3 linked regions of the Arabidopsis thaliana genome follow. The protein of the gene in region 3 interacts with the protein of the main gene of each other region in a biochemical or structural test. Each region holds a gene or a part of one and is shown on either strand. Other genes may lie near its edges.

The links.
Region 1: the proteins of SAP18 (region 3) and HD1 form a complex in vitro, tested with the Arabidopsis thaliana proteins (one study listed by BioGRID).
Region 2: the proteins of SAP18 (region 3) and ERF3 form a complex in vitro, tested with the Arabidopsis thaliana proteins (one study listed by BioGRID).

What each region holds. Positions count from the first base shown.
Region 1 is NC_003075.7:17,891,941-17,903,925, forward strand, and holds HD1 (histone deacetylase 1), read right to left. Parts: upstream 7,570-11,985; 5' UTR 7,364-7,569; intron 7,123-7,363; 5' UTR 7,118-7,122; coding exon 6,590-7,117; intron 6,506-6,589; coding exon 6,065-6,505; intron 5,935-6,064; coding exon 5,704-5,934; intron 5,449-5,703; coding exon 5,378-5,448; intron 5,290-5,377; coding exon 5,232-5,289; intron 4,804-5,231; coding exon 4,732-4,803; coding exon of another isoform or gene 4,723-4,731; exon of another isoform or gene 4,658-4,722; coding exon 4,553-4,657; 3' UTR 4,338-4,552; downstream 1-4,337. Other genes in the region: AT4G38120 (ARM repeat superfamily protein), read right to left, coding at 277-374, 466-556, 1,247-1,349, 1,643-1,730, 1,829-1,982, 2,160-2,211, 2,293-2,372, 2,466-2,831 and 5 more; AT4G38140 (RING/U-box superfamily protein), read right to left, coding at 7,928-8,365; AT4G38150 (Pentatricopeptide repeat (PPR) superfamily protein), read right to left, coding at 9,271-10,179; pde191 (Mitochondrial transcription termination factor family protein), read left to right, coding at 10,472-11,455, 11,737-11,780, 11,856-11,964. UniProt on the Arabidopsis thaliana protein: Responsible for the deacetylation of lysine residues on the N-terminal part of the core histones (H2A, H2B, H3 and H4).
Region 2 is NC_003070.9:18,752,655-18,762,967, forward strand, and holds ERF3 (ethylene responsive element binding factor 3), read right to left. Parts: upstream 6,055-10,313; 5' UTR 5,626-6,054; coding exon 4,948-5,625; 3' UTR 4,318-4,947; downstream 1-4,317. Other genes in the region: AT1G50630 (extracellular ligand-gated ion channel protein (DUF3537)), read right to left, coding at 1-94, 481-915.
Region 3 is NC_003071.7:18,795,947-18,806,367, reverse strand, and holds SAP18 (SIN3 associated polypeptide P18), read left to right. Parts: upstream 1-4,984; 5' UTR 4,985-5,044; coding exon 5,045-5,155; intron 5,156-5,269; coding exon 5,270-5,302; intron 5,303-5,414; coding exon 5,415-5,525; intron 5,526-5,767; coding exon 5,768-5,863; intron 5,864-6,260; coding exon 6,261-6,335; intron 6,336-6,454; coding exon 6,455-6,487; 3' UTR 6,488-6,840; downstream 6,841-10,421. Other genes in the region: AGL6 (AGAMOUS-like 6), read right to left, coding at 77-173, 261-415, 509-550, 628-669, 743-842, 963-1,024, 1,155-1,233, 1,734-1,915; AT2G45630 (D-isomer specific 2-hydroxyacid dehydrogenase family protein), read right to left, coding at 9,279-9,800, 9,874-10,368. UniProt on the Arabidopsis thaliana protein: Links the histone deacetylase complex to transcriptional repressors bound to chromatin. Involved in the tethering of the SIN3 complex to core histone proteins.

The sequences.
Region 1 (11,985 bases), on a different chromosome or scaffold from region 3:
TGGATCAAAACACAGGACAGGTAATGTAGCAGCTCTCATTATCAAAATCTGTACATAGGGATAAATGAAAGGGAAACAAAAAGTCAGCATATTCCTGAACCATGACCCAGTCTTACATAAGTTACTCCCTCAGCAAAAAAAATGTTAAAAAGTTTTCTTAATGTACTTACAGAGTTCAGACAGCACCATATGTACCTGAATTTATTCTGTGTCTATCCTTCTACTTTCATAAGAACTCCTTAGAAGGGAAATACTATAATAAGAACAACCTAATACCTGAAGAGCCTCAATGCATGTTGATGCGTCAGAAAATTGCTCAGCAAAACGAAATAAAGTAGAAAGAACTCCTGAATTCCATTCACATCCATTGAATCCTGAAATGACTTCAAACAAGCATGTCAAATATTATAATAAGATTCTGGTTAGGACAGTAGTCATAATGAACAGGCGCAAGATAAGGTCAACCTGCTGATGTCTCATCCAAAAGCATATTATGCACTTTCATTTGAGGAGGAAAGGTGGAAAATGCAGCTGACAGGCAACCTATTGCGGCAACCTGTATAAAACAGATCATGACATAGGTATGGCATTCACAGGACCAATATTTATAAAAGAAGCTAGAGTTCAGAGAAAATTTTATTCAGCAAGTTAAAAGCCTGAGTTCCCAGCTCAGTATAACCAACCATCAAATGTGGGAAGGCTTCGATAGAGTGGCGAAAATGATAATCATTGGGGAATGGTATTGGTGTGGGTTAGGTATTGGGTCCAGAGCTGAGAATCCTCTATTAGAAATAGTCTCAATACTGTCTTTGGTTTAATCAATGAAGAAAGATCTTTACTTGGTTCTTACCATACCTCTTCTTTTCCTCCGTGAATGAAAACTTAAGATTGTTTGGATTAGGAATTCAGCGAAAAGAAAGGCACTAGAAGTCTAGAACATATTTTATAGATTGGATAAGGACTGCAAAACATAAACAGAGACAAAAAATCTCCCAAACACGACTCTAGGCCCTTGTCTAATGCCTGTACCGTCCAGAGAAATCCCAAAAAAATTCTCCTCCTATTGCATCCCTCAGTCGACAAATTTCTATATGCGACTAAAATTAGTTTAAATCCTATGACTTTAGCTAATGGAAACTAGGATAGTCCAAGAATGAAAACCTAGATATGAAATGTAAAATCATATATCCATCATAAACGAAGACAGCTAACAGACAAAACAACATAAGGAAAAGGAAGCACTAACCAGCAGACCAGTTTTATCATTTTTGAAAGGAAAGCCCTCATTAATCCTAGCATGCAGAGACATTATAACTTTTGGCAGCAATTCTCCCGGCATTCTCGAGTAACTGAAAATGATAACAAACGTTAAAGAACACATGAAAATCTCATACAAAATCCAAAAGTAGTTGCAAATTTTAATAAGAAGATAACATTAGCTAAACGGAGCTGGGTCTACGCATGTATTCATGAAGCTTTCCTAATTCACTTACTCAAATGTAAATCTTAATCAAGAGCCATTATGGGTTTATAATAACGGATATCAAATACCTTTAAAAAGATACAATACTTTTACAATAAAACGAATATCATTTTAATCATGAGGAGCTAATAAAATAAAACACAGAAGAAATGTACGTACGGTGTGCTTGATATTAGAAGCAAGAGGATCTTGAACAGCTGAATCAACAATCTACCATGATTATCACTGTGAATCAAATGTAGAATGCCTACACCCATACGAAAGGCATAAAAATCTTGGTTAACAAGGAATAACTAATAGCCAGACAAGAAGAAAAAGGTTAAGACAATTAATGTCGTTGAAAACCTGTGTGGAGTTGCATTAATATTAGACCAAGGGAATTGGAGAGGGGCATAAATGATCCATATTTAGTAGATTCCTTGTACTCTGCCACTTGAAGGAAAATAGATGAAGGCCCATCCATCATGGTGGCAAGAGCTGACGCAGATGCAATCCTTACCTAGACATTGCAAGGTAAACAAAAAAGTATTGTCAGGATTCAGCAGTCATGAAGTTGAGCCACAAAAACATCTCTAGACATACTTGCTTAACCATAAAAGTTATTGGGAAGGTGAAAAATGAAGAACAGCATCGAAATATGTGCCTCAATTACTTGAAAAGGGACAAGAATAACCACCTTCAAATGAGGATCAAAAAGCAAGCAGGTCATTAGAGTAGCTTCAAACTTCCTGTTAATGATCTCGGAAAGTTAAGGAGACAAGAAAATACTACGGTATGGTGACAAAAGATGTTGTAGGTTAATTTTCCACCTTGGCTTGAGTACATCACTTGTTGGAAAGAGAGTCACCCACTGAGTGGTAAATGACTTTGAATCAGCCTGGCAAAGATCCTTAACAGGAAAAAAAGAAAATGAATAAGTAATTGTCACTGAAAAGTTAAGTAGAAGATGAGAACCAACTAAGAATAATACATTGTTACTCACCTGTATGCAAACAATTGCAGCTATTCTAACCTTGGAGCTTTGGGCAAAATAAGAATCCGGTACGGAGCCGTCACTGTCACTAAAATCGGAATCTGATGATATAACATCAGAACTACCAGAATCATGAGCAGATAGGCGCCGCCAGCTTGAAGACACTGGCTGCCTAGTGTTCAAATCATCCCTCTTGCGCAAGTGGGGTGGCCTATAAGGAGTATTCTTGGCATTCTTACTTACTCCAGAAATCAATGGAGAAAGCTTGACATTCAAATGCTTATCGTTGTGAACAACATCAGAAACTGATAACTGAGGTGGGCCAGTAAGTCCAAAACAGAAAAACATTCTCAATGACGCTATGAAACTTAAGACCTGCAACATTTAAAAAATCTGCTTAAACAAAGGAAAAAAGTCTGATATGGAGGTTAAACCAGAAAATCACTTATCCAAGGCTAAGAGGAGGAGCAAAGGGTATCAAGAACCCACTTACGTGATCAGAAACAGGACATTTGATATTTGTAAGGACCTCGTGCACACAGCCTAGAAGGCATGAATAAAAGCTGTAGAAAATTAAGAAATGAATATTACCTAAGAGGGCAACAAGTCTAATAGAACCCAGAAAAAAAGGAGTAAATTGTAGTCTCCACAAAACCAAAGGCATATACCTCCACATGAATCGGTCTTCGACAAGCTGGCCCTTAGATGCTAATACGTCCATTACTTTCCTTAGAACCTATATGAGAATTCACCAAGTTGAGAAACAAAGCATATGAGAGAAATGAGAGGATCGATCAGTGAAGGGGAAGATTACCTCTAGCGTGCATTGGGAGACGTCAGTAGGAAACAAAGACTCAGATAGAGAAAATGCTCTACCAAACATGTCAAAGGCAAGAGCCATGGAATCCCATAAGCGATTCTGTTGAGGCAGTTTCTTTTCCACAAGTAAAGTAGGAGAAGGGTCTTGATTTGAGAAACCATAGGATAAAACTAAATCCTGGTGTAATAAAGGAACTACGCGCACAAGAAACTTGACTAGATGAATGTTCTCCGGATGCATAGGGGCCAAACGTCTGGGAAAAGGAAGAGGAGATTACGAATAAGGTTTAAACAATGTCAGCAAGATTGTGAGAAGATATATAATAACCTTAAAGTCTCGAAGCATTGGATCACAGGTTCGATTCTGGAGAAATAGGCAGCGGAATAAGGTGAAGAAGGCATGGGTTGGCGAAGAAGAAACTCCAAGACAGAAGCAAAAGAGTGAAGAAGGAGCGGCCATGACGAAGAATTTAGTTGGAAAAGTAGACGAGCACAAACATCGTGAATCTGGATTAATAAAAAGGAGGAGAGATCCCATTAATAACAAGGAAATGATGGGAGGAGAGAAGGAGAAGACGCACCAGTTGACAAGTATGACGAGAGACAGGGATCCAGTCAGGACCATCAGCTTTGGAAACCAAATCGAGCAGGAACAAGCAATCGGAAGTGAGCTCGTGCAGTGGGAGGTGAGAGACGGCAGAGATAAGGGAATGGGATTGAGAGAAGAGTAGATCCTCGAGCAACAGAGGAACCGGCGGCGGTGGAGTGGTTGAGATTTCGTCCCTGAGAGAGAGAAACGCCGTCCGCCACCTTCCCACGCTTGACGAAGCTGCCGCCGTGAACATGTTTCAGTCTCCCGGGAAAAAACTAAGCAATCAAAAACGAGAACGACGAGAGACAGACAGAGAGACGCTTAATAGTCTTAAAGGGATTTACATTTTTTTAATTTAGAGTTAGAAATCAATTGTGTTACAGGAAAACATCTTCTCCACCCACTTCACTAGTTGATGATGTTCATTGCTGCGTTTAGCACATCAATTCTTTATTTTTTTGGGGTGGGCAGACGCAGATCTCTTCGGCCCAATCAATAAATATATAGCAAAAGGAATAGCTCGTCTTGTCATATCATATCATCATTCAGACATGCAACGAATAAATACATATCCGTGCTCAATCCTCTAAAACAGAGGAGTGCTTACAACAACAACAACTCCAGAAACTTAACTAGCAACATTTGATAGACAGAAAAAGTAGCAAGAAATTAGAAGCTCCGAGTCTTATGTTTTAGGAGGAAACGCCTGCTCCGCCCCACCCTTGTTTGTTCCTTCCTCTTCCATTTTCACACTTGCTTCCTCCACTCCCACTGGGTTTACTCCTGTAACCTGCAATCAAAACTAACCACTTTAGAAAACCACCATTCCCACCCTTTTCAGCCCTGTCCACTGCTTCATTTTACCTTAGTGCTTCCACTCTCATCCACCTCCACCTCACAACCTTTTCCACGCTCCATAATTCCTTTCAGTCCATCCTGCACGAACAACATGCCATGATAAATAAATTAATCTCGGAAGAAAAGGAGACGGCTTTAGGAATTGAGAGGCAGAGATGATTCAGCTCAGCTTGGCTAGACGGTCACACTATCTAATCAGGTCAATTGTTGGAGCTGGGAGCATACTAAATAAATAGCCTAGGCTAAATGATTTAACCGTAGCTAAAGATTCGCTACCCTCATGTGAATGTATCTCCAGCTTAAACTAACTGACTTAATGTCAGAATGAGACTCATTCTGGAATCTTTAGGTTTTGGGTCTCGGGATGAGAAAAAGTGTAATGTTATCAGAGCACATTGTGCTGTTCTGGAAAATGCTGTAAACCTAGATGAACTAATGACTTCAAATGTTTGTACCAGAAAAAGTGTCTGAGAAATCGAAACAATTAAGAGATAATGCTGTAGTACCTTGTCCTTTGTATCTGGTTCAACAGCTTCTCTTTTTACTCTGCTTGGTATAGGTTTACTGCACAATGCGATCCCACATTAAGTAAACATTACACCGCTGACTCGAACCAAAAATAAAAAGGGGAGGAAACATATATATTTCATACCGGTCATCATCAACATCCATGTCTGAATCCGGATCCCATCTTTTATCCCCATCTTCTTGGTCTTCATCAACCTATAATTTACATAGAAGGCATATTTTACAAAACTAAGATTGGTAACAACCAGAGTCATCAATCAAGGAATACTTATACATATCTAACTGGACGAACATTATTTACCAGCCCAGCTGTTTAAATTAGAAAATTCTTATTGTAACTGCAGTTACACTTAGATAAGCTCACCAAAACCCATGAGGAAATGCAAGAAAGAATGGGCAACAGAAATAAAGGAGCCAACACACTTCAAATGATTTGCTCAAGTGGCATACCTCGGGAGTCTCTGTATCAGGTGGTCTTTCCTGAAATGGTACACTTGGAGCATGCTGAAGCTTAGAGAGATTGTGGAGAAGGTCATTGCGAATCTCTTCAAGCATCTGACGAGAATTCTTATTTTCCATGTTACTTGGAGCAACGTGAAGTGTATAGTCTGGACCAAAGTATTCATAATATTCATGCTCCGGCATCTTGTCTTCAACTTCAACTCCAAGTGCAACTCCAGTCTGTCATATAAACAGTTTGTTGTAATAAATTCAAAGAAAGAGAGGCGTCACAGAGGGCTAACCTTGGTACAGAGACCAAGGAAATTTCAATGCAAAGCTAGAGCAGCATAAAATGAACAGAAGAAAGTACCTCGTAGCACCAGCAACGGGCAACATTGCGGATAGTGTAACCACCACCACCCAAGAGCAGTAGGGGAACATTGAACGATCTCATAAATTTGACGCACTCAGCATGACCTTTGATTGAAAGATTAAAGCACCCCAACCTATCACCAGACAATGAATCAGCACCACATTGCAATACCACAGCCCCTGGTCGGAAAATTTCCATAACTTTCCCCATGATGGGCTTGAATAACAGATGATAGCTCTCATCATCGATTCCATCATCCAGTGGTACATTGAGAGAATAGTACTTTCCGCTACCATAACCTATATCCTGAATGTGACCTGTACCGGGAAAGTAATCACCAAATTTATGAAACGAGACAGTCATAACCCTGTCAGTAGCATAAAATGCCTCCTCCACTCCATCCCCGTGGTGGATATCAATATCGACATAAAGAACACGCTGCAAACGAGAGAGGAAGAGTTAGAGATTCAGAAACGACATAACCATCCCTAGCATATATCAAAACGGTGCAGGTGGACAAACCTCATGCTGCTTAAGGAGCTCTAGGATAGCTAAGACGATATCATTGACGTAACAGAAGCCAGAGGCCTCGCACTTCTTAGCGTGATGGAGACCACCAGCCCAGTTGATGGCAATATCGCAGAGGCCGTGGTTAAGCTTGACAGAGCCACCAACAGATCCTCCAGCATAGGTCTGGCAAAAGGAATAAAGGCCGTCAAAGACGGGACAGTCTTCACCAACATTGAAGCGCTTAAGTTGGCGAATCTGATCTTGCTGGGTTTCAGGGGTAATGCTGCGGAGAAAAGAGACATAGTCGTCGGCGTGGAAGCGGCAGAGATCACGGTCGCGGGCAGGGAAGGGCTTGAGAACCTGCATATGCTGAAGGAGACCGTAGTGAGCGAGGAGGGCATGGGTCATGCGGATGCGATGGGGCTTCATGGGATGACCTTGGCCATAGTAGTAATTGCCGACCTCAGGGTCATAGAAATAACAAACTTTCCTCTTCACACCATCAGGTCCGGACGCCAGCGAATTGCCGCCAGTATCCATTACCTCTGCACGCACGCCGATCCATAAAAATTATATTATTAAAAAATGATAACTAAACCCTAGCCGCGGAGTAGCTGAGCCATGGACGCGTTTGAATGACAACAACAACATTTTTTTAAGTTACGAAAAAATCAAATCTAGTGTGCAGAAGAGACAGGAAGGCGAGTGAAAGATATTAAAAGACGGCGAGGCTAGACAGACGCCGGAAAATGGAATCACGCAGACAAGGAAGAGAGTCTGACTGACCTTTTTCGTAGGATCAACGGTGTGTTGTAATCACAGTCGCAGTCAAATGGTCGGAGGAGAAGCTGCGATGATCTCTCTCTCTCTCTCTGGCTTTCTTCTTCCTTCCTCCTCGCCGAGGGGAAGGGAGCTGCTCTCTGCTTTGCTTTCAGATTTTCTTTCACCTCTGACTGAAACTGTAGCCTACTTACTCTTCTCTTCCAACTTTTTCTACTTTCAGTTTATAATGGAAAGGCCCACTTTTAATCTGTTATGGTTTAAAATGAGGCCCACTTTTAATGTGTTTTAAAAATAAGGCCTATTAAGTTGCCTTTAGCCCGTTTACTTAATGGTCTTACGCAGAGTAACAAATCAATTAGGAAACAGAGCACTAGAGCAGCAGTAGGCACTAGGCAAGGCTGGTAAAACTAAACTCGTGCTGCTTTTGTCTCTGTTTAGTACAGTATATCATAAAACTGAGTAATCCACAAAATCTTGATTGAAAAGGAGATGGAGACAATATGTGCTTGGAAACTAAGACAAAATACATGTTAAATAAAGAATGGGTGTGTTAACAAGGAAGCTAGGCTACAAGTATCCAAGTAGATGGAGAAAGATACAGAAAAAGAAGAAGATAGAGAGATACAAGGTGGAAGAGGAGTGTGCATTATTGACATTTTGTGTAGGAGGAGTTGGAGCCAATACAAATGATCTGCAGAGAGGGCAAGTGAGGTGGCCACGGAGAAGCCAAGGTTCTATGCAATTGATATGGAAGAGATGAGCGCATCTGGGAAGATGGGTCACCGCATCCTCAGCCTCAAACTCCACCAGGCATATGGGGCAGCAAATTTCCTCCTCCTTTTCCTTGTCCCCAAACATCACTCCCACTAGGTTGTAACCGTCATCATCATGCGCATCCGCATCTCCACCATTCTTCTTCAACCTCCCCAAGGGAATGCACACACATGTGTAGAATACTATGGCTGCTGTGCACAAAGGCGACCGCGGAAACAACATTGAAATCATCTTTCTCCAGCTTTCTGCTTCTTTACCTCATTCCTTCCCTCTCTTTTATAGACTAATATCATCGAGTAGGGACGGCGCCGACCCCACCTCCCATCTCTTATTATATTCTTTTGTTGTTTTTCTTTAATCAAGTCAGCGATTCTCCCAACTCCAAGAAAACTCTTGGAGAGGTTATGGTCAACATACGAGATGCACATGCTTCCATCTTAAGCACTACCTGATACTTGCATTTAACAATAGTAAACAATACAAGAATCACATGACGCCAAAAGTAAACAAACAAAAGATGGCATTCATATCCAGTGTATTATTTATATATATATTAAAAGTAAGGAGTCATTCTTCCATCAAGACAGGCCTTGACTTCCGAGTTCACGAATATAATACAGCCGACCAAATCAAGTAAAGATCTCCGAGTGAATCATAAAAACTATTTTAATGTTGACTCCACGCATTTTGTATTCAATATAGCGCCAGCTTCTACAGAACAGACCTCCACGTCCCTGAGATCAGCAGTGCCTTTGGAGGATGATGTAGTTTTATGCCTGGTGTATGTAACCAATGATACTATTGTTCATATTTGTTCATGAAGTCGGCCACATTTGCAATAGACAGTCACATACATCATTGGTAATGACTGATAAGCGTCAAGCATAATTTGACACCCTATACCGCCAACACAACGCTATTCATTGAACTTGCAATCAATATTAGAATGCATGAAAACAGGGAACTACATCTACAACTACACATTTTTAAAGGACATAGGAAAAAAAAAAAAACTCGATACCTGACTCCAAGCAGAAAAAGGAAGACTCATATTGATTTTCACTTTCAAGGTTGTTATTACAAGTCAAGAAAACATCTTACTGAGACGGCATACTTAACAGCACTGCGTAAGTAAATCAGAAGGGTTTCTCGGTTGGTTTCTTCTTGAAGATGGCTTCCCAAGCCAAAGACGGAAATGGAGCCCTTTTATCCATGAACTCCTTGACAGCCTTAACATTAACGGCAAATCCTTTTTGGTTTAAGGTATCAATAGCGGACTGGGCTTGTTCAACCCCCTTTACTCTGCACAAGGCATCAACCAATTCAACGAAAGTGGGGACGTTAGGAGAGTGACCAGACTCAAGCATCTCACTACAGAAAGCAACAGCATCGTCAAGCATGTTGCAATTATACAATCCCTGAACCAACACACCGTAGCTGAAGGCATTAGGGGCAATCCCATTGTTCTGCATTTTCCTGAAAATCCTCTTAGCGTCTTCAATTTTATGAGCCTTGCAAAAGGCCTCAACGACAGCAGTGTAGATAACGACCTCAGGGATTGTACCCTTGTCACGCATCAATCCGAAAAGCTTCATGGCCTCTTGTACAAGCCCATCTTTGCAGAGGCCGTCAAGCATGGCGACGGCGTTAGGGATGAGACCTCCTTCCTTCATCTTCTTGAAGATCTCATCGGAATCCTCAGGCGGCGGTAAGGGCTCCTGCGGGTATTGTTCCGGTTTGGGGGTTTCCCGTGAATCCTGATTGACTCCAAGCTTGAACTGTTCGAGGAAGCCATCGTCAGACAGAGTAGTATCACTCTTTCCAAGGTTGTGGGCTTGTCTAGCGGGTGGTTCTCTGTGAGAGTTGGAAGATCTCTCCCCTCGCAAGGGTCTGTTGGGTAAGGGCTCTGGAGGGTTCTGCTGCTCGTCTACTTGACCATTGTCGCCCGTTGAGAGAAAGCGTGTTGCGGACATCGACGGCGTCGTAACACGAATCTGCTTCGCCATCTGCCTTGCAAAAACGACGGCTTTGGAGGAAGGCACCATCGTTATCTGCCGCTGATTCGAAAAGTTAGGGTTTTGCAGATTTTGACGGAGAGAGAAGAAGGGGAGGGTTTAGTCACGCGAGAAGGATTGAGGGATATAACAGTCATTTACTCTACAGGGGGTATAAGAAAGAAAGAAGGTCCTCACTCCTCCGTGTGGATAAGCTTCTCACTTTCAGTTCAATTGGATAGCCGGAAAGGCTCTCCTCCAAGGTAAATTCCTCTCTACTTCCTTGTTAAAGCTCGAATCATCTCTAAGTTAAGCAAAATTGGTGTGTTGTAGTGGCGTTTATATGGAGGTGACAAATACGAGCAGCATCATGTGGTTCTTCAGGGACAAAGGTTTCGATGATCCGAGTATCGACAAGATGTTGAGAAAATGCAAACAGTTGGAAAAGGCTCAAAGCGATGTGGCATCAGAAAACTGGGACTACCTGAGTAACATTGTTGGTATCCAAGAGAGAAAACTCCCTTACATCGTCTCTCGATGCCCCAAAATCCTGACTTTACGCCTCGATGAGAGACTCATCCCGATGGTCGAGTGCCTCTCCAGTCTTGGAAGGAATCCTCGGGAAGTTGCTTCCGCCATTACCAAATTTCCTCCAATACTCTCTCATAGCGTGGAGGAGAAACTCTGTCCCCTTCTTGCTTTCTTTCAAGCGTTAGGTGTGCCTGAGACTCAACTTGGCAAAATGATACTTTTTAACCCAAGGCTTATCAGCTACAGCATCGACACCAAGCTGACAGTGATCGTCAGCTTTCTTGCTAGCCTTGGCCTTGATCAAGATGGGATGATTGGCAAAGTTCTGGTGAAGAACCCATTTCTTATGGGGTACAGTGTTGATAAAAGGTTACGGCCTACCACTGAATTCTTGAAATCATCCGTTGGCCTGAGTGAGGATGGCATTAAGTCGGTGGTCATGAATTTCCCACAACTTTTGTGCAGAGACGTTAACAAGATTCTCAAACCAAATTATGATTATTTGAAGGAGTGTGGGTTTGGAGATTCCCAGATAGCAACCATGGTCACTGGTTATCCCCAAATCTTGATTAAGAGTGTTAAGAATTCACTACAGCCTAGGATCAGATTCCTCGTCCAGGTGATGGGAAGAGGCATGGATGAAGTGGCTTCTTATCCTGAATTCTTTCACCATGGATTGAAGAAGAAGGTCGAATCGAGGTTTAAACTTGTCAAAAAGAACAACATTGACTGCAGCCTTAGAGAAATGCTGGACTGTAACACAAAGAAATTCCATGAGAAGTTTGGCTTTTCGGAGGTAACTGCAAGCTTCTAGCTTTTATATCTCTCTCTAGTTTTTTCCTTCATCAGGCTCTCTCTGTAAGCTGTTTTCAGCTTGTGCACCAATTTCTAGCACGAGCTTTTCCTTGAGTGATTGTGATATCAATAGAGTGTTTTCTTCCAGATATCATCGATTATTCACTATGCATTCGTTTATCATGGATTCTACACTTCCTTTTGAAAATTACCTAATTATGATAGAACCACCACCATGGCCCGATCAAGTGCATATCCATAGAGTGGTTCCTGTGTTTTCAGGTATTCAACTGCAATCAAAATGGGATGTATATGTTGTTGGATAAGTCAGTGTCATTATTGGCTTGTGATTATTGCAGCAACCGACAAGCAAAAGAAGTGTCTGCTTAGCCTAACTGCAGAACAGAATATGCAGCAATGCAGTCTAGCTGCTTGTCGGAAGTATGGGTGGGTAAAAAGCCCCTAGTCATTCCACAAATATGGAGGCCCCTAGTCAAAGGTCACATTTGATGACAAAGAGATGGTTGATCG
Region 2 (10,313 bases), on a different chromosome or scaffold from region 3:
TTCGAGATCCACCTGAAGCGTACCACCAAATTTTGTATGCACTCATTGCTGAGAAACAAGGAATCACAAAGTAGGACACAATATGAAGCGAAGTCTGCAAAATAAAATAAAAAACAATTGTAATGCTTGTGAAACAAGTAATATGGTAAAATCTAGGTTTTTACTTTTTACACAAAAATGTTTACAGCAAATAGTGAAAAAAATAACATAATTGTTTTTGTTGCTCAATCCTTAAGATGCGTCGAGTTGTTTCCTTACTTTATAATATTCATGATTCTTCTACTTTATTCTATTATTTTTTTTCAAATCTGACTTTATTCTTTGGACAAATTATTTGACATAATCCTAAAAGAATAGAATATTAACAGATATGACAGATATGAGTTTGTGACAGATATGATTATTTTTTTTTCTTTTTTTGCGATTACAGAATTTGTAAAGAAATCAAAAAAATTGTGATTCGAAAATAGAGAAACTCACATTGAGTTGATTGGTATAATTTCGTCGAACGGTTTCGCTCTCGTCCCAGAGTTTATCAAAGAAGAGGAAGCGTCGAAGACCATACTTGCTAACGAATCTGGTGAGACAGAGGAAAGAGACGGTGGCGACGCTGCTTAGAGAAAGCTGAACGACGGAGTCGTAAGGTCTTGAATGGTAACTGTCGCAATCAGCACAAGCGAGGAGGAAGTGAGAGATCGCCGGAACGACGAGTGTGAAGACGATGAACATGGTCCAAGAGAGAATCGCTGTCCATGGACTAGAGTGATCTACACACATCCACCTTAGGTATTTGCGGAAGCTGTGTAGCTCGTCTTGTTGGTGTGAAACGCAGCGATTGAAGATCTTGTTCGTGTTGTTGTTGTTCTCATGGTTTATCAGCGGCTCTTTCCCGACGGCGATGTCGATGTCCGCCATCGATTAGGAAAAGCTGCTGCGGGAGAGAATGAATCAGAGTTTTTAAGAGAGAGAGATCGCGTTTGCGTTTCTTTTGACTGCGATTGGTGATGCGATCTTTGAATAGAAGTGAGATGGGAAACGCTATTTATAAGTTTGTGTTAATTTTTTTGTTTGCGTGTAAGGTGTTGTCTAAATAGGAAGGAGTTAGTGAGAGATAATATTTGGAGTATAAAATTAAGGGTCAATGTCAATTAGTCAGAGAAAAGTGTTAATTGCCTATATTTTGTTTCCAAATAAACAGTTAATTGTGTGCCATTTTACTAAGTCATTTAATGCAATCATACAAAAATGAATGTAAATGAGACTATTTGGACAAATTTTGCGGGATTGGATGGCTAAATTAACTAGATCTAGTCTTAATTAACTACTAGTATGATTGCTTTCAAATCAAAATAGTAGTCTTAATTAACTAGATCTAGTTAATGTTATTAACAAAACATGAATAACTTGTTTGTGTCAAAACTACAAACACAAACTTGATTTAGAAGATAGTTTAAGCAAAAGGTGAACACAGGCTGTGGAGTGGGGACCCACTAACCCATGTGTTTTATTCAGACCACCGTTGAAGCATCGCCACGCGTGCCGTTTGTCTGTTCCTAAATAACCATATTATCTTTTTAATCACTAAATTAGTCATTACAACAGCTATACACTCTTTTTGAATGTACGGTGATTTTCTTATTTGAATCACCGGCGGGGGATATCTTAAGTTTACTTGAAAAAAGTTTAACATTTAAGAGCATATGATTGTTTAACTCAAATAATGCTTATGATCGAATCGAATACCATGTTATCATTTACAAATTTTTAATTGAAATTGTTAATAATTGTGAATTATTTGAAATAAATTCGTTTGTTTGTATCTGGTTGATTACTTAGTGGCTATGTTTTATAGACACCATATGGAACCATATAACAAAACGGTGCTCAATTACTTATCTCACATGTTTATGAATTGATTTGTCTACCACAGTTTTTAACGTGATGAGTGAGGATGACCTACGTTTGGTTTTAGTGAAAGAACATAAATGAAAATGTTCCAATTGTTGACAAAATTTAACTCCTTCCATGATCTTTATGTTAAATTATCCTTTTGCATGCTTTATTACAACGATCATCTTTCTCTTTTCATCATATACGATTTTGGACTTCCATTATGATGCTAATCGAAATCATTTCTATGATCATATTTCTTTCGTCTAACATAATACATGACGAATTCACCGAGTACGACCATAGTAGTGTTTGTCTTGGGATTATTTTGTATATTAATTAATCTGGACATCTAAAAAGCCAGGCCCGAGCTTGTGAATAGCCCACGGCTCCAAGCCCATTATTAGCCAACAAACTGTATCTCGTTCCTTACTAAATATTCAATCTTTCTCAAATTCGAAGTGATAATCAATATTAACACTTTTTTTGGTTTTGTGAAAGGGTTTTCTAATCAATATTAACACTTTTGAATTACAGTTTATAAAACAATATCTTTAGATAAATTATTACATATAATTATAAGTTAAGATTAGGCATATTTGTTATCCAAATTTGATCTGTTATCCGACTCGTACACGTCTCAAAAAAATATTTGAAACCTTAGTATCGAATGAAGATAAAAAGTATTATAATTTTCTTATCTGCAAGTAAGTGTCAAATATCAGTATTAATTCTATTTTTTGTACCTGACCCATCACTCGCTTTATTCCCAAATTCGTAAATGTAGTTTTCATTAGTGTTTTATAATGTTACTTATATTTTTATAAATGTTTCCTTGGGTGAAAGTTAAAACCTAACTTCTAAAAACTGTTATTATTATTATCGATATATTTTAAACTTTGTAAATATTATGAATACATTTTTATTATTTATTATTAATTTTTTAATCTAAAAATCAAATTGATGCTCCAATAATATTTAGGTCCAAAATTCTAATAAAATTAACAAATAAAAAATAAGTCAATCAAATCAAAACAACTTGTCTAAAACATATATTAGGATTTGAAACTAGTCTTCTATGAAGTCTTCTCATTCTTGTCGGTTGCAATTTTTTTTCATTTTTCTCAGCTGCAAAATTGATCAAGCTTGTTGTTAATGTCTTCAATGGTGATCTTAATTGCATTTGTCGTCTTTTTTGGCTTCTGTGTGTGTCGCTTCCACTATATTAGTTGATTCTTTGTGAAGCATAAAATTCTTGCTATTCAATGTCGAGGCGGGGACACCGTGTTTGTATAAGTTCCACATATAAGGCATATGAGTCTTGAATCCTAAGACACCAACAAAGATGACAAATGGACCGATATGAAAACAAACTCTTCTCCCATTGCCCATCTCATCACACGACCCTCATGCCTCTTTGTTACAGTTACCAAATTTATTATTTATGTCGAATTGGTTGATTTAGTTAGAGTTGTGTGAAATTTTATATATCTACGGTATATTATATTATAGAATAAATTCTAGTCTCTTATACTAAAATAAAGTTATGATTTTTAATCCACGTAATTGTGGAATGAAATAATCAAATCTCAAATTTCCCAAATATTTAATAATAATAAAGGTTTGCAATATCCCTGCAATTAATTACTAATATATTGTTTCTTAAATGTTCTACATACTTTTTTTTGAACAAAAAATCTTCTATGATTTATCTCTAGTATAATCGCTGCAATTACATCACATTATTTTTTCGTAAATGTTCTATCATTATATATTTATACACTAATAAAGTTTGTTTTATATCTAACAAAAGATTCAAAGAAATTAGTTTTGGACAACAGTAAAAACAAATATGTGGGTTTGGTTAGGACCCAAAGGTCGTTTAATAGTGTTTGTGGCAGAAAAAGTAAAGTAAGATACTAGAATTTTAGGGTAACGCCGAACACAAAATCTAATCTAATGGGTCAAACACGAAAAGAATCTGCCTGCCACCATACACCTCTCAAAGATTTATTATCAATTGCCCACCAAACTCAACCAAAACAATTGTCTCAATTACCTATAAAAAAAACTTATTTAAAAAAAACAAAAGCTAGATTAAATACCCTTTTAGTACGTAAAATAAAGAAATTAGAAAAATATCACAAAAAAGACATCCAACAACACCACAATTTTTAGGTTTAAGAGACGTTTCGAAAACTTCTAAGTTCTAACAGCTTTTCCTAAACTTAAAATTTGTTTTCTGAAATTCTAAGAGTTTGGTAAATAATCCTGGAAAACATAAGATATAGCATACCCCTTATAACCTAATTACAAAAATTTAATTCAGAAAATATCAGAACCCAAGAACTTTAACAAGCTTTACCAATCTAAGATGACCATCTTGCAATTTTTTCCGATCTGGGCATTAATTTTGAAATTTTAAGATGTAAAATAAACAACCAAAAATCTTAATCTCTAATTAACCAAATCACTCACTGCTACAGAACTTGTTAAGATTCAATCCATGAACAGTTTACAAAACTAGCTTCATTTGTCTTTCTTCTAGCTTAATTCACGTGAACAAGAACTGATCTTTGAACAAAACTCATCAGAGCTCTAGAAGATGAAAAAAAGATTCTAGATTTTTTATTTAGAATCATGAGTGTTCCAAATGTATATGTTACAAAGATGGGGGTTGTTTGATCTATCTCAAGAAAAAAACGAAACCCAGATCTGCGTTTTTCTTACAGTAAAACAAACAGACACAACAGATCATCGTGTTCGGTCTTCTTCTTCTTGGTTTTGAAGATTTAGTAATAATAGTAAAATAATAATACTCTTACAATATCATCACAGAAGAAACACAGAACCAGCTCAAGCTCTCTCAAGCTCATCACCATCTTCTTCTTCTTCTTCGTTTCTTTGTCTTTCTATTTCTCCCGCATAGTAAAAATTATATGAGATCAACGAAACAGAAAATTTAAAAAAAAAAAAAAAAAGGATTTTGTTGTGTGTTTTCGATTAAAATCAAACCGATCACGGATCTGTGATTTTGATTTTGATTTTACCAATTCATTAGAGACGTAGATCGGTACAGTGAAGATCATCAGCGCCATTGAACAAGTCAACACAATCCAACGGTGGAAAATTAAGATCGAATTGAAACGGCGGATTCCGTCGCCGTGAAGACGATGCGATATCGTCGTCGTCGTCGATTACAGACGACGACGAATCGCAATCGCTGTGACAATCCTCCGGAACAACCGGTGGAGTTCTAGGATATCTCTTCGTCGTGGCCGGTTTCATCGTCGTAGGTCTGGGTCCGCTAAACGATTCAACGGTGCTGCTCATGCTGCTACTAGTAGGCCGGTTAACAATCGGGAACTGTTGTTGATGGTCGGTGAATAACCGGTGGTCCATAAACGGATCGACTTGGTTTTGATTTTGATTACGAATCTGATTAAATCGGAGATTAGGAGGAGGAGGAGAAGAAGAATCGATGGGGAAATTAGTTTTGGCTTTAGGACCACGGAGGTTACGAGCGGCGGAGTCGTAAGCGCGAGCAGCTTCTTCGGCGGAATCGAAAGTACCTAACCAAACACGAGCTTTTTTCCATGGATCACGGATCTCAGCTGCGAATCGTCCCCAAGGTCTCTTCCTTACGCCTCTGAATCTGATTTCTTTTACAGATCCGTTGATGGCGGCAACGACGGTAGGTCCGGCGACGGCGGAAGAGCCTCTTCCTCTCCTCATGATGGTGGATTTAAGAGAAAGCCAGAGGTAATGGTAATGGAGAAAGATCTAATAGAGATTGTTGAGAAAGAGAGAAAGAGAGAGGAAGATGAAGATGAGGGAGATGGTGGGAGGAATGGAGAAGATAGGAAACTCTCTCTTCAACACAAAAAGCTCTTCCTCTTCTTCTTTTCTTTTTTTTTCTTTTTTTTTTGTAATTTCAAAATGTTTTTAATAAATAAATTGTTTTTTTTGTTGTGATATTTTGAAATTTTTTAAGAATTTAAATTTGTAATATTTTGGTTGTAATAGTTTTTTTTTTTGTGCGCTCTCGAATGCTCTTCACGCCCGCCCCACAAGACCGACCAACTCGGTTTCTTATCATTTTGCTCTTTCTTTTCTTTTCGTTTTTTCTTCTTCTGTTTATTTGTTTTGATCAACCGATTTTAGAGATTACAAAACAAACCATTATTGTCAAGCTAAATTGGTGGTCAATAACCTTTTTTCTGTTCTCCTAGCCAAAATATTAGTCATGCAATTCCAAGATTAGCAAAAGAATAATAATAATAAGGGTAAGAATAAAATAAACTCATTTAAACTATTTTAGAAAATCGGTTATTTTGAAAAAAAAAAAATTTTGTTTTGTTGCAGATCAACACAAAATACCGTAGAAAGCAAAATTTTACTATAATGTTGTATTCGATTGTCATGCTTCTATGATTTATTTGTTTGACATTTTCTGATTGACACATTCTTACTCGACACTTGATTCCCTATTTTGAACATAAATTTCTCAACACTACAAAAATTATTGAAATTAAGATCATAATTGTTAAGGAAAGCATGAAAGGAGTCGAGTTGATAAAACTCTTTTTTTTTAACCCTTTGAATCATCTTATGTGATAATGTTATGTGATTCATTGATCTTAGGTTACAACTTCTCTAAACTGATTTTGTCAGTATTCGAAAACACAGCTCTAACGATACAATACTTTTGAATTACTTATTTCTAATAAAGAGATATTGTTAAAACTATTTGATTGTCTGTAAACGATTAAGTTCTTAATCGATGAAGAAGACATACTTGAAACGTGTATTCAAATAGAGGTTTGAGATTACTACTGGTTTGAATTTATTTTTTCAACAAATCATTTCATGTCAACCATAAATCTAGGAGTGGTGAATGACTTGATCTCTCAACAACTCTTATTTTTATGGTGTTGAGGAAGTGAATAAGAGCGAGTCTTCTGAGATGTAAAACAGAGCGACTTATTTTCTCACGCTCAATATTTGACTTTACAATTTCTCGTAGCTCTACCACGAATTGAACCAATCCATTAAGACCAAAGTTCTCATTTACACAATTCAATTTTATCAAGCCCACTTAACTTAAATAAAACTTGGTTCAACAGTCACAACTAACCATGCTTTAAATCTCAAATTAAGTTGCTAAAAAGAATTACCAAAATCTCGGCCAGCGGAAACATATAAACTGAAAATCAAGACTTTTAAAAATAGTTGTTTTGTCCATCATCGAGTAATAGTTTATGTCCCCGACTAAGGCAATAATAAAGATTGCTCGTCTAAAATGATTACGTGGATAATTTGGCTAAAAGGATTCTATCGATATAATTTTTTGATACTCAAACTTTTGTAGCAATGTCAAAGAATTTGTTTACTAACAGAACCAAACTCATATACGTTATGTTGCATTTCATTTGTGACATGATAACATATCGTGTGGTGTAGATTTTAAGGGTCCATATTACTCGTACGTACTATATTGACATTTTCGGAGTGTTATCTACTTGAAAATTTAAAAGTTGTTGAGCTTGTTAGATGTTTCATTGGTTAGAAGCTATTATTTCGTTTTTATAAACAAATTAAGAAAAACATATTGAGCCAGACAGTTTGCAGTTTATTCGATGCTCTATAAGTATCTCATTTTTGTTAAAATTTGGTTGAGCAAGGAAGCTATTTTCCTCTATAATTGTTGATAAAGAGATTCTTGCACTAAATAATCTATGGTTTTAGTGGATTCCAAAAATTGATATGGCAAGATGTAGGGAATCAAATCACTACTTTTATAAATATGAACTCATAATATCATGCGTATTCTTCGATTTTATTATTTCAGTGTTTTTGCTTGAGTTATCGCCATTCGAGAAATGTAAGTTTCAAAATGAGATTTTGAAAAATTTATTAAGTAAAGTTGAATTTTTAAACATTGGATTAAGTTCAACTGATTAACGGATTGGGCATCTTATTTTAGAACATGATTACAATCATCCAATGTGAACCAGATTCATTCTGTTTGTAAAATGCTATGTAGTTGGTTTGCAATAGATTTCTTTTAAAACCATTTCATATGTTCCATCCTTATCAACTATTCAACGTCTCTTTTTGTTTTTTGGCCCTATCAACTCCTGAAATGAGAACTGACAATCTAAGGACTTTACGAGTATACTACGAGCTTTTCTCGTTAGAAGCTTTAATTTAAAAACCCTAACATATTATACTGATATATCCTAAGATAAAATGATTATCTATTTATGTGATCGAGAGACTAAACTGTTGTAAAGATGATTAAAGTCCTATTATCTTCTTTGCGCACCTTCGTAACACTTTATAATTCAAATTAGTTATTTTTAAATTTAGGAATAATTTGAAGGTAGTTAGAACAAATTAGCAATTCAAATTCGAAACGCATCATCTCGATAACAAAAGAAAACAAACAAAGAGAATAAATAATTATTATTTTTCGAAAAAAGAAAAGGTGATATATAGAGAAAAAAAAAGAAAGAATGGTGTCTCGATAGGTGTGGTAAGAGGAGGAGACAAGGGAAAGAGATTGGCACTTGCTTCTCTGCTGCACTCTTCTTCTTCATTCCACCTCCCCCTAATTTTTTTATTATTCTTTTTTCTTTCTTTATACGCCACACCAAAAGACTCACAAATCTTATTATTTACTGAGAGTATTTTAGTAGTACTAAATCTAACAATAATAAACTTTCATAATATGATAATAGTCTAAATTTCTTAAAACCTTTCAATGTATTTTACGAAATTACAATACTAATTCAGAGTTTGATAGCAAAATAACAAAACCAAATTGTTACATTTTATGCAATTAAGTTGAGAAATTAATTAGTAATATTGTAGAATTGAGGAATTCTATAAATAAGTATATCGCGTAAAATAGTAAAAGCCATTATTAAATATAGAGATTATTGAAGTTTGCAAATTTATATCATTCTGTATTATTGTACAATTTAAAAATCAATATTCGACACTTTTAGTAGTCGTGTAGTATTTTTTTTTCCCATGTCAGCAAACATATTTTACTAATCAAAGTGAAAGAACACAAATTGTCGTGAAATCATTATTTTGTTACTCTACAAATTACTATTTAAAACATTATTGTTTGTTTCTATTTACAAAAGAGGTTAACATATACTTATTTTTTTGGTTCCATGAAATAAATGTGGTTGAAGTTAATAAAGAAAAGTCATGTTTAAGAGACGAGACATCACAGACGCGTTAACGAGTGGTGAAAAGTGGGACACAATAGAGTTTTTATTGATTCAGTTTGCTCCTTCCACGCTTTTTCATTTCTCTTTCGTCTTCCTAATGACATCTCCTCCTCAACTTTTTTTTATATTTCCCATCTTTCTATTTATTTATATAACAATTTTCTTAATATATTACTTCCAAGAAAACTCATATATCAAGGAGACTATTCAATTCATAGAATACATATTGTTAATGCAAAACTTTTATGTATAATGCAGTTACTGCTTAACCATTCAGAAAGAAATAAACTATTCTAGTAATGTTGGATACAGCACAACGTGTCACAGAACCGTTACATGTGTTATTACTAATTGATCTAGAACGATGACCTAAACTTTGATCAATTGTTAATAGGAAAACATTCACTTTTGCATAAGAACCAAAAACATCTTTAAACTAAACTTATCTTCCACGAGACCACGACCACATGGCACCATAGATATACATGTGTTGATACAATCCAATTTTTTTCTTCTTGTATGAATCGTAAAGGTATGTGTATATTCATTTGTATTTTTCATCCAATACTTTCAAATATATAGTCTATTATAAAAAAAGTTATAAACACAAATGACAAATAAATAAATTGAATAGCTTACATGTTAGAGTGTGGGTTCCACCAAACTAATTTCCAGTAAATTTAAACATTGAAAGATGTTGAACAAAAAGATAATAACATTGAAAGATAATAATGTGCTTATACTTTATACACACATCGAACTTAGTAGTTCACGAAAGGGACTCTTGTTTTAAGTGGTCAAAAAAGTTTATTTAAAAAAAAAAAATCAGTTCATTTATCTCAATGGTTTTGGGCCTTTGGCACATAGGTTACTATATAATCTAACTTGAATGAGATATATTTTATAAACAAATGGGCCTGATTACAAAAAAAAACTTATGGCCGAGATTCGTTACTTTACTCGGGTCGGAAAAAAATAAAAATTAAACCAGGACCGTTTAATTTTTTGTTAATTTTTTGTCCTGGTTGAATAGATATTGCATGGCTCGTTTCTGTCATTGTTGATGTAACTTTGAAAATACATCTTTGGGAATGGTCAATAAAGAATAAGTATAACAGTTGAGTTAAACCGATGCTAAACAATTAGTATTAGAGATTAGGCTATTGATCGAGTTTT
Region 3 (10,421 bases):
TCTAATTTGAAAAAAGAACAACTGTAGAGAGCTGAAATTGGCCTGACCGTGGCATCGTGGTCTAATCAACAGAGAGTCAAAGAACCCAACCTTGGACGAAATTAGTCTCACCTGCCACGTTACTCTTTGATACCGAAGACCCTTCACCTTGCACGTAGTAATGTTGTTGAAACCTAATCCAAATACCAAACAAGTCTTATAATCATATCTTATTTCTATCCATTTATTTGTAAGGGCCGGGAAAAATGGTATATTCTTACCCTATTTGTAAAAAGGGTTCGGTGTTGCAATCCAATACATTAGGATGAGAAGGCTCTACCGGAAATTCAGAATTGTTTGGATCCCCGGCCACCGATGCCGCCGAGTTTGCCCATAAGTCTTGAAAGGTTTTGAAAGCATGGCCTTCCGTTTCAAACTATTGAAAATTTATGTTTAGTTAAGATCCAAATGTCATAATTAATTATATGAGAAGTTATAATATAATTTTGCGATGTCTAGAAATAAAAACCTTAATCTTGAGTTGTTTGTTTATGTCTCCTAGTTGCCTCTCCTGCCATTTCAAACATAGATTGATTGATATGCATATATGTTTTGCAGTTTGGTATGAAACATTTTTATATAACTTGCCTTTTTCCTAAGGTCTTCCATTTCTTCCATCATAACTTGTGTCTGCATATTTTAGTTGAATGTTTTAGTTATGAATATATTTTTAATGAAACAAGACCAGTCTAGATCATGTGACCTTGCGCTGTCGAGTCGCGGTAAGAGCGGCTTCGAGCTGCCTCTCGAGCGCTTGCAGTTCCTTCACACCCATTTCTCCAAGATCTTCTCCAAGCAAATTCCTTTTATAATTAGCAATTATCAACACCCATAACAATAGATTTGTAACTATACATATATAATGGAAGATGACAATAACGATTTAATTTCAAGGGGTTATAGAAAACTCTTAATTACTAGACCTGTTAGTACGAACAAGAGATTCGTATTTGGATTTAAGCTTTGTCACCTCCTGACACCAACTCTGCACCATATAGATTATATGAAATGCATATATATAGTAACATGAGAATTTGAGAAAATAGAGTTAGCTAGAATCATTATCATCAGAAACAATAATTGTAAATATATTCAAAGTACGTACACACACTTGCCTGTGTAGTCTCTTCAGGCTTATTATTGCTTAGAGAGCAGTTGTAACAACGATTATACCGTTCGATTGTGCTTTCAATTCTACAAATTCAATTAAAACAAAAATGGGAGATCATTAGCTCGATTCAACAAATAAAGATTCTTCTTACGACAAGAACTCAAGTTATATATCTTACACACTGATCTAAAAGGGAAAACCCTAGTTTGTTTGTTTTTTTTTTTTTTAAAGCTAGAATTAAACCCATTTGAAACCTGTCATCTGTAAGATTAAAGAATCAAAGGAATTCATGAATGGGAAATCAACAAATTATAACGTACGGAAGGACCTATTAGCTTATGATAAAGGATCCAAGAGGGAGACACGATATAACGATGAACCCTAATTACCACAGGATAAACGATACAACCATTAAGAATAACCACAAGATCAAAACATGATCCGACTCTTGAATCGTACGATGTAACAAGTAGCAAATGAACCCATTTATTAATCAATTTTCATATAAAAAACATAGCTTTATTGGATGAATCTTAATATATATAGCACAAAAGTTGGTTCAAAGGAGCAAAGATATATATACCCAACACTACCAAACTCGTAGAGCTTGCCACGGCTTGAGAAGATGATGAGAGCAACTTCGGCATCGCAAAGAACAGAAAGCTCATAAGCTTTCTTCAGCAAACCGTTTCTTCTTTTTGAGAAGGTCACTTGTCTATTAATCTTGTTCTCTATCCTCTTCATCTCCACTCTCCCTCTTCCCATCTTTCTCTCTCCTTCTCTTGATTCTGATTTCTTCTTCTTCTCAAGAATTGGTAACTTTTTTTCAAGAATAGATAAAAGGAATAAAGTATCGTACACGATAAATGTGTTGCTATATATATAAACTTGTATTACTTTCAATTCTTCTTGTTACAGGTTAATATGGTGCGTTATTACATAAATCCTTTTTAATTAATTATTAGTCGTCCTAAGTATGTGAAAGTGGCACCAACAAATGAGATATTTGTTGTTGAAGAAATTAAATATAAATATCGTCATATATTTGATGGAACAAAATGATAACTCTGTCTTCATCGTTATAGCTAGATTCCTAAAAATGGAAATCTACTTGTAACAGTCGGACCATTGAAAATTCCTTTTATTTTCTCTTTTTAATTATTAGGACTCTTTTCTTTTCTTTTTTGCTTTTTTTACATAGAGCGCGATGTTTCAAATTCAAACTAACTCATTTTGTTTCCAAATGTTATGGCTCATGTTCTTCTATAACTAGTTATTGTACCCTTTTCAAGCTATCCTAGCGTGTTCTTTTATTTGATGCTGCGCCAGCGGCAATAGCGGACTGAAACGACGTGTCATGAGAAGTAGTAGGTAAGTAAAACGACATTAAAGCTTGAAAATAACAATTTCGGATGAGTCGCCGATGATAGCCGATGAATTGCAATTGCATCAAATGAATCGCTGAAATTAAGCAGCGTCACGTCAATCTTCATCATCGTACATCTTTTGCGGCAGTTCTTCTCTAATCAATGTATTTTTTCTCGCCGCAGATCTGTTTTTCTTCTTTGTTGTCGCTGACGCTGCGTTCATTAAAAGAACACGCTAAATTAAATAGAAAATTTGGTTTTCTAATGCGGTGAAGGATTGATATATTATACTCGCAACCATGTATCTTGATTGAACCGTGATTCAATATGTTTGGTTAAAATGTCTACTTGATCTAAAATCGGACGAAGTAAACTACGTGCGAAATTAATGCTGATTGGTTTTACAAATTTGTGAACTTTTATTTGGTCAATGAAAAGGGGCAGAAAATTCATCATTGTTTTGAAGCTCTCGCAGAGCTGGTTAAATATAGTAAGATGTTGGGTTAGGTAAAATTGTCTTTAAAAATGTTTACCTCTGAAAATGATTGAAAAATGAGATATTTTCCTATATATATATATATATATGTATGTATTATTTACTTACAGTTTGATACATATATATGTATTCATTCATATATATATATGCAATCATTTACTTACAGTTTAATTGCTAATATCTGAATGATTATTTTTAATCAATTTTTTGATGTTTTTGTCCCTTGTTGTATCTGCATCATTTGATATGTTGACGATTCTTTCAACGTTATTCATCAAAACGGTAACTAATTAATTTTAGGTTTTAAACTTGGAAGTTAAATAGGGGACATTTCACTTTTTCTACAAATTTTTTCGACAGTTCAATGGAAAACGTCAAGTTAATTTTCGGCTAATGAGATATTGAAGCTCAATGGAGTTAATTAACAGATCATAAATGAAACACGTGTAAGGGAATCTGCTACTCTTTTGTATTGTAGGCCTTAACTTTTTTTATCGATCAGTCGGCGTGTCAGTGTCTTGTGGTCTTAAGGAAAAATATCCGAACCTCATCATCTCCACGAGTTAAATAGTATATATCCTTCTTCTTCGTACGAGGTTAAGACAACTAAAATCTTAAAAAATAAATTAAATACTTAAAATCAATGAATCGTTTCATATATATACATATATATATATATAATATTTATGTGCTTCGATTAATTAGTACATGTAACTATTTTACGAACGTTTAGTTATCGCCCATTTGCACATAAGTTTACAAACAAACATAGAATCATCACATTATATATTGTGCAAAATTCAAATACAAGATGATAAATCTTTACATCTTCAACTACAAACACGATATATGATATCAAGTTATCAACCAATCAAGAGCTGTAATCTAGTAGTTTTTTATTTTTTGTTAAAAAGTTGTAATCTAGTAGTTTCATTTTCATCTATCTTTTTACATTATAGAAAAATGAAAGTATAGAAAAATGAAAGCTTATCAAAAGTTAGTGGGCTACATCTACATTATATTAAAAAAATATATATATATATATATATATATATATATATATATATATATATCAATAACTAGATCGGACAGTGACCAAACCAATCTCGTTGTGTCCAATCCAAGAAAATAACAAAGGAAAGTCGTACGTTTGATGATATAAAAACCTTTTTATGTTTGGACGAGTTTCATAGAACATGGTGGACAAAATTATAGTACTATATACTATTTAGTATCTCCTTTTGAAAAACAGTAAGCCATGTAAATGAATTTGTACAATTAACAGCTATTTAAAAAGCAAAAAAAAAAACAGTGAATGTTTATTTACAAAGTTCCGAAGGGAAGAGGTTGTGGTAGTGGTTAGGGGCATGCCAAATACGGAAAGGGAGGCAAAGAAGATCGGGTAGTCTTCATAATTTCATACTTTTCACTTTGTAGTAATCTTTCCTTTTCTTTTTTAATTTCATCACCAATGTTTCTTTGTTCAAATTCATATCCACACACTCTTTTGGAAATGGCACTGCAGCTTCATGTGAGGTGTGGGGTCATTGCGCCTTATCGTCTGAAAATGTTACCCTCTTGACATTCAATGACCCCATTTTCTTATTTTCCATAATTTCTTTTACCATTTTACTATAACAAGAATGATGCAAAAGGAATAGGCAAAAAACAGCATATTATTTTTTAGTGGGATCCTAGTAGGTCACTTGAAGTCTCTATGCATTGATTATGGATTGCTATATTTGTCTCTCTTTTTATTTTTGAATTTCGAGTTAGTGATCTTCAATGTGTGTTTCAAATATAGATATTCAAAGGTTATAAACCAAGAAAAGAAAAAGTAGAAAAAAAATATATATATTTCAAATCTTTTAAACGGACCATTGGCAACAAAATCTATAAACGAGTTAGGCCCAAATTGTTGTACAAAAGGCCCATTAGGTTAAATAAGTATGGGCCTAAAGCGGTCCGATCAATCTCTGTGCCATTACCTTCTTCTTCGTCGTAGTGATTTCTCTCGAGAGAAAAAGAGAGATGGCTGAAGCAGCGAGAAGACAAGGTGGTGGGAGACCATTACCGCCACCTCCGAGAGGCGTTAACCAACAACCTCCTCGCCCTAAACCTGAACCTGTCGATCGTGAAAAGGTTTGTGTTCGATTTCATTATTCGCGAATCGTTGAATCATCATCCTTTAGGGTTTCCTTTTAGGGTTTTTATCTGTACTTATTGATTTCTTTATCTTTAACCTTCGAATCGCAGACATGTCCCCTTCTTCTTCGTGTTTTCACCAAGGTACTCTTCTTCACTGATTTTACTGAATGCAAGTTTAATCACTGGAGAACTGGCTATGTTTGTTTCTGAATTAGTCTGCAAATTAGGATTAATTGGGTAGGTTTGATTGCAGAGTGGTGGTCATCATACTAGTGAAGATTATGCTGTGAGAGGCAAAGAACCAAAGGATGAAGTTCAAATCTACACTTGGAAAGATGCCAGTCTTCGCGAGCTAACAGATTTGGTATGTCTTCTACCATTAAGATTTAGATTGGGTGCTTGAGACAACAATAAAGCAGCTTGCTTTGAGAACTTTTCTTGTGTAGTTTTGTTTTTACAAATATGACGGATTTTCAGCTAAAGGACTCACTTTGTTTTTACTGCTGAGGAGTGCTGATTAAAATTCACATTTTTGGGGGTTTTGTGTAACGTACAAAGGTGATGCTTCTCTCATAAGCACAATGTTAAATCACGTTTTCATTGCAGGTTAAAGAAGTTTCTGTAGCAGCTAGGAGAAGGAATGCTAGATTGTCTTTTGCGTTTGTTTATCCTAACAATAAAGGTGGCTATAATGTGAGAGAGGTAAGATTACGTTCTCTTCACAATCTTGATCAGATAAGTTGTCACCGTAGCCACGCATGATCATTGATGCATTCTAGAGTTTCTGTGTTTTCCCCTGCCACACCTCTTTGTCGCACATGTAGCTACCAGTATCATTCGGAGTTTTGTCAACAATGTTTCTCTTGTACATGTCTTTCGCTTATTGACAACTCATCTTCTCATGGTTATTGATTTTTGAAACTTCAGAGAGACCACATAATCATAGCTAGTTACTACAGAATGAAGTAATTTGATTGAATGGATGCTTTCAGATTCAATCGTTATGGCTTTACTTGTTCTCTTGTGATGTTTGCATATGTATTCAAGAACCCATGAGAAGAGTCTGATCTTGTGGTGTTGTTTCTGTTAATTGATAAAGGTTGGGGAGACGATGGCTTATCCAAACCGAAAACAACCAGATGACAGTAAAACGCTTTCCGAACTTCCGTTTGAGGTAAGTTTTTTACATGCATAGAAGATCATCTTGTATGATGATTATATAGTCTATAACATTAATTTTTCATATTCTGTTACCCAAGTAGCTATAACTGAAGTTGATCAATCTATCTGCAGATTGGAGATTATCTGGATGTGGCAATTTACTAGGAGGTTTCTGTTTCTTGTTAAGTGGGATTTGGGTGCGTGCACAATGGAAGAAGTACACATTCATATGGTTGTATCATCTTAAACTTCGTTTAGACATGTTTGTATTTTTTGGATCTAGTCTATGTACTAATGTCTAATGGTTTAGTATGTTATCCTGCTTTTTTTGTTTAACGTGTTTTCTTTTCTAAAGAACCAAAAAAAAGATGGAAGAACTCAAGCCATTTTATATACAAAAAGGTATAAATTTAGACTATCTATAGACTATAGCACATGAATATGTATTAAATTAAGATTTCAACCCAATTTACTTTTATTAGTAGAATTAATACTCGCACTTAACGTCGGAGAAGTAGCTGAGAAAAAGAAATCGTGAAAAAAATGAGAGAAGAGGATGAATTTAGACAACATTAATCATCAAAACTATAGTGATAAACATAGAAGAGTGGGCAATGCATTTCAAATATTCTCAAAAATAAAGATATAGTTATGGAATTATACAAAAGTTTAATAGCAAAATATGAACGTTGCGTTTACGATTCCCTATATTGTTCCAACGTTAAGTTTGATTAGACTTGAAAGTTGAAAGTATAATAAAATTTAAACGTTGAAACGGTAACATTTTATTACCGTTAGAAGATAATATTTTATTACAAAAATTCAGATAAATGGCTCTCTATAAATACTCCCATCTTGGGTCAGAAATCGGAATCCTCTTCATTGGTTCATATTTTACAAAATGTCGAGAAACAATCTGTTTTTATTTCTTAATTCTGGTTCTTCCACTTGAGTCAAGACCTCATTCAAACAAACATAAAGCATCATCCTTACAAGGTAAAATACTCTGGTCTAAATCCTCTAGTGTTTACCGTTAAATGGTTTTTTTTTTTTTCATTAAATGGTTCTTAGTAGTTTGTTCACCTGTTCTTCATCTTTTAGTCATCTTTTAGGGAGTTGAACATGAAATTCAATGTCTGTGTTGTAAATCCATTGTGTATGTATATGTATTGCTGGCTTAACTTCAATGATTAGGACAATAAACTGATTTTTAGCTATATTTGTTTCTTTCATAAACTGAGCATTTTAGTTAGATATATATATGTTCTGTCTAAAATGAATTTCATTTGCTGTGTTTTAAATCCATTTTTTGTGTATATGTATTGCTGGCTTAACTTCAACGACTAGGAAAATATTTTTAGCCATATTTGCTTCTATCATAAAACATTTTTAGTTATGTATCGGTTCTGTCTAAATGAAAACATAGAAAAAGGTTTTTATTTTATGAAAAAACAAAGATAGAATAGGTTGCCTATAAAATGCTTTTGATTTTTTTGTAAATAATATATGCATATACCAAAAATGATAAACGAAAAAAAAACGATTGTAATGGAATATTGATTTTCGTTAATTAATTTTGCAAGGGTTGATGAAGAAGGGAAAACAAAGCCTTTGGGACTCTATCCAGCGTGTTGCAATCAAGCTTTGCTAGCCTTTGTTGAATTTTACTAGATTGTGCATGTGGCAATCTAGTGATTTTGTATCTTTTTTCTTTCCTGATAAGATACATGGATGTGTATAAATGGGCGTATAGTGATGTGTAAGGTGCGTATAGATGAATGTATAGGCGTAGATGAATGTATAGATGCATGTATAGGCGTAGATGAATGTTTAGTGATGTGTAAGGTGTGCGCATAGATGAATGTATAGGCATAGATGTATGTATAGGCGTAGATGAATATGTAGGTGTAGATGGGCGTATTAGTAGAGTGTGTGAGCGTAGAACATTAGACAAACGAGGGACAAAAATGCGCAACGCGGGCCGTAGCCAAAGAAAAAACGCGAAGCTTAACAAAACACAAAAAAAAAACAGACGCCAAATCGCAAAGTCAAAGCGACATAGTCGAAACATGTAACAAATGGCAAAAACAAATAAAGCATAGTTGAAACTCTAACAAAGACAAGATTAATCCGTGTCGAAAGACAAAATTAATCTAAGTCGAAATTATCAAAAACACTTTAAAAATAAAAAACAACTGAAAAAGTTATTAAAGCGACTTCAAAATAACACTAAAATAATCGAAAGAGAAAATTAATAAGTCGAAATTATCAAAAACACTTTAAAAATAAAAAACAACTGAAAAAGTTATTAAAGCGACTTCAAAATAACACTAAAATAACATTAATATCCTTTAAAAACACCAACTTTCGAAATCTATTAGGTTACGGCTATAAGTCAGAATGTGCAATTGAATTACTTTCATGCAGACTTCGGCTACATTATCAAAAATCGAATAACTTTCGAGTCATGTTGAAAAATGTTTAGGATTTACGATGTGTCAATGAGAATTGGGAATTGGAAGTGTCAATGGGAATTCGAAAATTTAAACATGATCCAGAGTTCATGCAAAAATTTAAACCAGATCCAACAAAAAGTAGTAAACTGACTGATGATTTAGATTTAAATGTGACATTTTTCCCATACTCCTAACGATCGATAGCCAAAAACACAATTCCAACGTTCGCTAGTTGAAACGCCCAAAACTGAACGTCAAAATACAACTTGCTTACGTCATAATAACATTGAAGAAAAAATAAAACCAAAGGTGAAAAATAGAATGTCAGAATGTCACCTATCAAAATAACACGTTAAAATTTGCCTATGCACATAAGAAAAGCAATCGTTCGAAACACTGAAACTATGTAAATCAATCATACAACTGCCATGAAAGAGCGAAAAAAACAACCCAAATGTAGGACTCAAACTTTCCCAGCTTAACCTTGGCGATGAGACCCATCAAAGAACAGGAGTTAAAAGAGGTTTATTGGAGAAGAAAGCTTCAATATTCCCTACTACAACTTTCCCAAGTTCTTCAAGACCTTCCAATGTCATAAAAGCACTATGTGGAGAGAAAACAACATTATCCAATTCAAAAAGCTCCTTCGGAACATTAGGCTCATCTTCAAAAACATCCAAACCAGCACCACCAATCTCACCTTCTCTCAAACATCTCACCATTTCTTCCTCATCGATTATAGCCCCACGAGCCACGTTAACGATCACTCCTCGCTTTCCCAGAGCAGAAAGAACATCTTTATTAATCAAACGCAATGTCTTCTCATTCAATTCACAACAGATTATGAGTGCATCACTATTAGCTGCCATCTCCTCTATATCCATGTAATAGTGATATGGAACATCATATGGTTTTCTGTTTCTTGAGCTATATGAAATTTGGCAACCAAAGGCGTCGAGCCTTGTCGCTACTTTCGAGCCAATGCTTCCTAGTCCCACGATTCCGATTCGCTTTCTCCCCAACTGCAAATTAGAGGGAACCATTAACAATCATTTTTGTTGCTAATTTGATTTTTTCACAAGTTATGTTGCAAACCTTGGAACCGAGAGGATAATCGCCTTTGAGTGGCCAAAACCGTTGCTTAACGAACCGATTGGCGGCGGAGATGCGGCGGAAGACGTCGATGAGTAAACCGACGGCAGTATCTGCGACATCTTCCGAGAAGCTTGAGCCAGCGTTGGCGACGGAGATGCCTCGACGACGACACTCAACTAAGTCAACATGGTCAACGCCGGCGCTGGTAGTAACAACCAAGCGAAGATTAGGGAGGATGCGAATCAGATCGGCTGTGACCGGAGCAGCTACAGGGGCTATAATGGCGGAGATGGAGTCAGAGTGATAGGCCAAGAATTCAGGAAGAGGAAGCGGAGACTCGAAGGCTTTGAGGATCTCGAACTTGGTGGAGGCGACGAATCCGTCGCCTAACACAGCCATGGCGTCGGGACGTTTGACGATGAGGACACGTGGCAGTTTCTCGGTGGAAGAGCTCGTCGCCATCGTTGCGACTTGCGAGATTGATCTGTTTTGCATTATTATTAAAAAATTGTTTTCAAAATTATCTCACTTCTTTTTTCAAGTCACGC